2 linked regions of the Tribolium castaneum genome follow. The protein of the gene in region 1 interacts with the protein of each later gene in a biochemical or structural test. Links are inferred from orthologs where the notes say so. Each region holds a gene or a part of one and is shown on either strand. Other genes may lie near its edges.

Evidence for each region. The genes of interacting proteins can lie anywhere in the genome.
Region 2: of the proteins of per (region 1) and dco, one has a biochemical effect on the other in vitro, tested with the Drosophila melanogaster proteins (4 studies listed by BioGRID, with this or other methods). The link is inferred for Tribolium castaneum from reciprocal best matches to the Drosophila melanogaster genes per and dco.

The regions. Positions count from the first base shown.
Region 1 is NC_087398.1:320,557-323,900, reverse strand, and holds part of per (period), read right to left. Parts: intron 2,755-3,344; 5' UTR 2,734-2,754; coding exon 2,648-2,733; intron 2,600-2,647; coding exon 2,519-2,599; intron 2,471-2,518; coding exon 2,298-2,470; intron 2,248-2,297; coding exon 2,143-2,247; intron 1,828-2,142; coding exon 1,700-1,827; intron 1,655-1,699; coding exon 1,447-1,654; intron 1,397-1,446; coding exon 1,181-1,396; intron 1,059-1,180; coding exon 873-1,058; intron 822-872; coding exon 658-821; intron 614-657; coding exon 494-613; intron 438-493; coding exon 273-437; intron 79-272; coding exon 1-78. UniProt on the Drosophila melanogaster protein: Essential for biological clock functions. Determines the period length of circadian and ultradian rhythms; an increase in PER dosage leads to shortened circadian rhythms and a decrease leads to lengthened circadian rhythms.
Region 2 is NC_087399.1:6,558,238-6,561,993, reverse strand, and holds the start of dco (casein kinase I), read right to left. Parts: upstream 2,199-3,756; 5' UTR 1,898-2,198; coding exon 1,822-1,897; intron 1,754-1,821; coding exon 1,262-1,753; intron 1-1,261. Other genes in the region: ND-PDSW (NADH dehydrogenase [ubiquinone] 1 beta subcomplex subunit 10), read left to right, coding at 2,520-2,607. UniProt on the Drosophila melanogaster protein: Serine/threonine-protein kinase which is involved in the circadian rhythm pathway, viability and planar cell polarity.

The DNA.
Region 1 (3,344 bases):
GGGTGTCTCTGACGACGATTTACTGTCGTAGTAGTCATGGTGTGGGGATATTTCGCCCAACATCACAGAATCACGTTCCTGAAAAATAATTCCTCTCGTGACATAAAGAAAATTTTGCCTTTGAAATTTTTTAGAAAAGAATAAGCCCTTTTGTTATTAAATTATTAATTTTGTTGTTTGTAATTTTAACCTGTGGCTAAAATCTCATTTGGATAATTTGTTAGTCACCAGTGCCCGTTAGTTTAAAGAATGCTAAAAATTGGGGCACTTACCATTCGTCTTAGACTTACCGAAATGGTGGGATCGGTATCTTGAGGTAAGTCTAGTTGTAAATTACTTTTATTTACTTCATCCATAAGATATTCCATAAAATTTGCAAGATCTTTGCATCTCTTTGAAACCTCATGTTTTGCCGCTTCGGACGGCCTTGACAATTCCTAAACGAATGAATTTAATTAACATCAGGAACGTTATTTACTTATTAATAACTTACCTTGTTTAGTAACAATAAAATTTCACCTTGAATCACCTTACTCTCTTTGAGTACTTCTTCAGGGATATATTTTTTCTCATCTTCCTTGTTTTGGTCAAAAATATCCGGGTTTTTCGGTCCCTAAACGACAAATTAAACTTTTTCTCTACACTTTTAATACGTACTTGTAAAACCCGATGGAGGCCTATTACAAATTCGAGACGCCTTGACCACGGATTGACAAAGCTGGACCACTCTGTTTCAATCATAACAAAACCGCCGTTTTGCACAGCAAATCTGTACGGTTTGCTGCGAAACACCGATCCAGCTATTTGGCACATGGTCATAACTGAAAGAAAACTCTCAAAATTCGTTCAAATACAACAGTTTGGAAACCAACCAGATTCGTAGACTTCCTTGAGGAACGACATGTCTTCAGGATGATAGAAATCAAAAATTGATTTTCCTAACATGTCCTGTGGCAAAAAACCGAAATTTGTGACCACGTCCGGGTCCACATGACTGAAAGTGCACGCAGCGGTGTGTCTCATGCCAAATTTGGCAAACTTTACTCGCTCTTCAGGAACTGAAAGATTTTACTCGTTTAATCCCAAGTACACAAAACTAGATTTGTACTAGATAATTTATTAATTTTTTTGCAAAGTTTTGCTTAGTGTGTCGTATTCTAGCCGTTATTTGTATCTTTACCTTTGTACGAGGAATATACAGGATTTGCTACGACTACGAGAAACATTCCCCCATTGGTGTCTAGCAGTTTTTTCGAGTCTGGCGTGTCATTCAAGTGTCTGAAGGTAACAGTCAACTGAAACGCTTGGTACGACACTGCCTTCTCAACAACACCAAAGCCGGACGATTTGAGCCCTCTATATTTACGGAGGCAGACATAAAGCGAATTTTTAATATCTGTGAATAAAAATTTCGGTGACCAAACACTTGCTTGAGTAAACAATCACCTTTGAATTTCCCTTGAGAGTCGACCAAAGGCAAAGCAATGCCAGTAGTGACTTGACTAGAAAAAGTTTCCCGATCCTTGGGATGCACAAAATCAATGAACGATCTCCCTAACCACATGTCTTTCGGAAAACCCAAAACTGCAGTCAGACTTGGGGTTGTGTACAAAACAACTCCATCATACATGGAAATGACGCAGCAGAAACCATCCTGTAATCGATTTGTTTATTTCATCGATTTTTTCTAAAGTTTTACCTCCGTGACTTTGGTTTTCTCAACGGAGGTTTCCATTGGAACGCTCGCAGCATTCAATGTCTCTTTTTCGGTGTGTTGGCTTTGTTGGTCGGTCCAGGACATTTCTTTATCTGGAGGTGGTGTCTCCGCTAACATATGCAAAAAAACATACCACAGGCAATGTGTTACACCTAAACCTTTACGCCAAGCACAAACGCATACACCCGATTAGTCTAATGTTAAAAAAATGCAAAGTATTGTAAATTTATTTATTGAAAAAAGTAAAATTGGGCAAATGTGTTTACATCCTCATCTTCCTTCTGGATAAAGTTAGAAACTTAATTTTGTTTAATGTATTTTCTAAATTTTTCCTTTCCTGACGGGTGTAAAACAACAGCACCAATAAACCATGATTATTATTAATTTAGCCGATTAGTTCGTTAGTTAATTATCATAACTGTTACCTGTGACTGGCACTGAGGGGGAGATGGGGTCGGGTTCGTTCGTTTCAACTAAATCGGTTGAAGGAACCGCTGTTTCAACAACAGGAACCGGAAGAACTTCAACACCTGAAAGAAAACCCCCAGTAATTCGAAGAATTCAATTTTGGATTACTAACCCATGGTTGCTTCAGCACTGTCTTCCTTTAAAATAACACAAATGTTTCTATTGTCTGAAGGCGCGGTTGCTGCAACTGACGAAACGTTGCCACCATTTGTTGAATTCGCCGACTTGAGTTTTTTCTTTTTGTGTTCTTTGTTACGTTTAGGTGGTTGGAATCCAATCTCGCCGCTAGAGAATTTATACAAAATTAAGTAAAAATAGTGTGATTTTTGTTACCTTTCGTCCGGATTAGTAGTCCCACAATAGCCACTACTTCTACTCGAGTTACTCCCACTGTGGCGGGACTTAGAGCTTGCACTTAAATATTAATTGTTAGAAAAAGCAAGCGCTTTTTCAGTTGCTTACCTTCTTTGCGAATTGCTGTTACTACAGCTGTTTGAATATCCTGAATCGGAGATTTTTGTGTTTGTCGTTCCGGATTCAGATTCCATAACGAATTTAAATTGCTATATCTGTATGGAAAATGAACCACAAAATCATGAATGAGTATGTTTGTAGAATCGGCAGCTAAACATGAATTATTGAATGAATTAACTAATTGTTTTGGTAATAATTACCAACGTGCTTGTGCACGAGCGTCTGGAAACAATACGCTTTCTCGGAATAATTTAATTGGAAACAGGAGCTGAATGATGAAGAAATTGATAAAATAACGTTTTAACCTTCTCTTAATAAAATAGTACGATGGCTTTCTTTTCAAACTGGTTTTGTGGAATAATTACGCGAATGCAGTTCATATGTCTCAATGGAGAAATGAATGCTGAAAAAACGCCTTCAGAGGTCGTAGTTTACACGTGATTACTTCAGTTTTAGTTGCACGTGATTTGATTAATTTTACCATTTCTGAGCGCTTTTTTAAACTTGAATTTGCGTCCCTAGCTGTGGTTTTTATCGAAGATCAAACGTTTGATTGGGGTACGTTTTGTGCGAGCACGATTACGTGAACGTGAAGGTAAGAATAGACCGACTGGAACAAAAGCTTTTAATTTCACCACCTTGTTAAATATAAACTCGTGGGCAATAATTGCACTATTATTCCGAT
Region 2 (3,756 bases), on another chromosome or scaffold:
TAAGGACAAAATTTGTCCAATATTAGATTTTTTTAAATTTTTCGCTAAAACGTCTTATAATAAAAACAATTTTAAATCCAAAATCGACTATTGGATTCAGCAGAAAATTTTTCATAGCAATCAAATGTTTTTTTAACAATTAATCACCTTTAATCAATTAATCACATCACTATTAATTTAAATAATATCCAAAAAAGTCAAAAAAACATTTTCAAAAATTTTGTGCTCTACAATTCTTATTTAAATCTTTTTCTAACTCTTTCCGATTTTAAATAATCTTTAGAAAATACTTTATTTTCGTATTTTTAACCCCTTCTCAGAGGTTGAAACAAAAAAATCTTTTATAAAACTCTATTATCTGAAAGAAAATTTGATGTCATTTTTAGTTTTTAAATTATTGAGACAAATCAAAAATTTTTCTTTTTATTTTTACTTTTTTATGCGAAAACCAAAAGAACTAGATTAAGTAGAACATTCTTTTTTTTACAAGAAATCTAAATCTCTCATCGCCTTTTTCAAGGCGTTCTTGATGTCAGAGTTACAACACTCAACTTTGGTTTTTCTTATGGTCGCCAAATATGATACTTGTATTTTTAAAAAGTCTTTTTGTTCCTGATTAGAAAGATGTATCACATGATTTGATCAAATCTTACATGCTTTAACCTTCCAGATCCAAATTCAATTAAACCACCAACATCTAGTATGCTTCAAAACAAAATTATTGATATTTTTTCCAAGCACTCTAAGCAAAATGTTTTATCTCTATTTTAATCAGCATGTATGATTCGATAATATCATGTGATACGTCGTAATGATCAGGAATGAAAAAACTTTTTAAAAATACAAAAAGCAAATATTGCTTCCATAAGAAAAACCAAAGTTGAGTGTTGTAACTTTGACATCAAGACCGTCTTGGAAAATACGATGACAGATTTAGATTCCCTATAAAAAAGTGCCTGAAGAACGTCCTAGTTAAAAACGTCTAGTTCTTTTGGTTTTTGCTTGAAAAAAAAATAAAAACGAAATTACAAATTTCCGTTTTTTTCCAATAAATTTTCTTCCAGATAATTGTTCAGCATGCGCACCTTTGCCTTAATTTAACCGACCTGTATCTCTTATAATAACTGAGTTCCCATGGTGGAGCTCAAAAAACAGACACCTGTATATAAAAAATGCAAGTTTTTTCACAACACTTTGATTTAAAGGCTTATTTGACGCAAACATTGTTCCGCAATTGTTACGAAAGTCGGCCTTGGCTCACCTGTTAGATTTTTGTTTTCTCGGTAGGGTATGTGCTGGTGGGTCCGTCCGTCCCTGTATTTTTTCGCTAGCCCAAAGTCGATTATATAAACTAAGTTACCCTTTTTGCCCAAACCCATGAGGAAGTTGTCGGGTTTGATGTCGCGGTGGATGAAGTTCCGCGAGTGGATGAAGTCAGTACGTGATATTAATTGGTCGGCTAGGAGGAGAACTGTTTTCAGGGAGAAACGACGTGAACAAAAATTAAATAAGTCTTCTAAGGATGGTCCGAGGAGCTCCATCACCATGACGTTGTAGTCACCTTCCGAGCCGCACCATTTCATTTGGGGGATCCCCACTGGAACAGAGTGAATTTTGGGACTTTTTGGGGCCTCATACCTACCTCCCCCCTGCATCATTTTGTAAAATTTCGACTCTATGTGGAGCTGCGGGTGCCTCGTTTTGATGCATTCTAGCTTAATTGCGACCTCCTCCCCCGTGGAAATATTGGTACCTGCGAAATGGGCAAAATCGTGGTACTTTGGGTCCTTTGTTTACAGTGGAATTTCGGACGCGCCTCACCTAAATATATGTCCCCGAAGGACCCGGAGCCTATCTTGCGCCCTAGTCTGTACTTATTGCCCACTCTAAGCTCCATTCCACCTCACTTCACACAACAAAAGACATGAAATGCTGTCGTACTTCAGGCGGCCATATTAGCCATAGATATTAGCCAACTATCATAGGAAATTTGACGTAACTAGAAGGCTTAGAAATTCGTTTGTTTATTTTTAGGGAATTTACAGCTAGCGGTTGGGGTGTTTAGAATTTCACAATTATCACAGATTCGTCAAAAACGCAAAACAAGAACGATTAATTTTGCAATTTCGCGTTTCATTATGGCCTTTTGGTGACACACCACACGAAACAACTGAGAAATAGACGGCCAGCTTGCGCCACTGGGCTCATCACAGACGCGACCTTGGACGTCACGTATCACCAAACAATAAACACGGGCCCGAACGTACGTCGGGACTCGATCGGCCGCTCAATTGTCACGTCGCCAACTTCACACCATTCCGTTTTTTAATTACGCACAATTAAAACACAAAACACGAATCGTAATTAATCCGATTGAAATTACAATGACCAGTCGTTAATTCGGCTTAATTAGGGGGAAATTGCCAAATTGTGATTATCCAACTCGTGGCCAACTTCACGCCGTAGTCACCAACTGTCATAGGGTTCAAGCTTAAAATATTTAATTTCGAAAAATAACAATGCCAGAAGTGGAGCCCCGAAATATTGTCGAGAAATTCTTCAATTCCGTTGCCAATGTTCTAGTGACGCCGACGGTTTGGGTTCGGGGTAAGTTGCCCCAACTAACCTCAAACTTGTGGTTGCCCCTTGAGTGAGCAAACGTTCTGGTTTTACCAGGACATGTTCGCGATTTTTAGATAATGTTTTGGTTTAAATAGGCAGTCCAGCTCTGTCTTGGCCCTTTACATTTTGTCCCGGTTATGGTTTTATGAGCGGTTATGGCTCAAAACATTTTTTTAATTAAATCAAAATATGCAGTGAAGATTTTATTTTGCTGAACATTGGGGCTTCTGTGGAACTGTATGCAATGGGTTGACATGGATTTTTTAAAACTGAACATACAATTAACAGTTTTGTGTGTTATGTAATGATCATTGAAATAAACTCTATATCAAACAGGGTGACCCCATGAAATCTCCAGTCTTGTCCAAGTTTGGAAAAAATGCTAAAACAGGTCAATTTTAGTTTAAAGGGGGACCAAATTTTATCCTAGTTTTAACATATTTCTGCAAACCTCTGATTTTTTCGTTTTAGTGATTTTAGTTTAATAAAAACAGGAATAAAAACATGATTTTTGGTCCAAAAACGTGTTTCAATCCTCAGAGCTTGCAAAAATAATATCATTTTCGTCATATTTCTGTGATTTATTGGCTAACTTTTTAAGAAAATTTGCGCAATAATTGAGTTTTTGCTGAATAAACACTTAAAAAAGGTAATTTTTTGATCATTTTCGACCAAATTTGGCGATTTTTTCGTTCTAGTTTAATAAGAACAGGAAGAAAAACTTGTGGTCTAAAAACGTGTTTAAATCTTCAGAACTTGCAAAAATAATGCCATTTTTGACATAATTCTGTGATTTATTGGCTTATTTTTTAAGAAATTTTGTGCAATAATTGAGTTTTTGTTGAATAAACGTTTAGAAAAAGTTAATTTTTGGTCATTTTCGACCAAATTTGGTGATTTTTTTGTTTTAGTTTAATAACAACAGAAAGGATAACTTAATTTTTGGTCTGAAACCTTGTTTAAATCCTTAGAACTTGCAAACATAATGTCATCTTTGTCGTAATTCTGTGATTTATTGGCTTATTTTTTGAAAAATTTTGTGCAATAATTGAGTTTTTGCTGAATAAACGCTGAGAAAAGGTAAATTTTTGGTCATTTTTGACCAAATTTTGTGATTTTTTCGTTTTAGTTTAA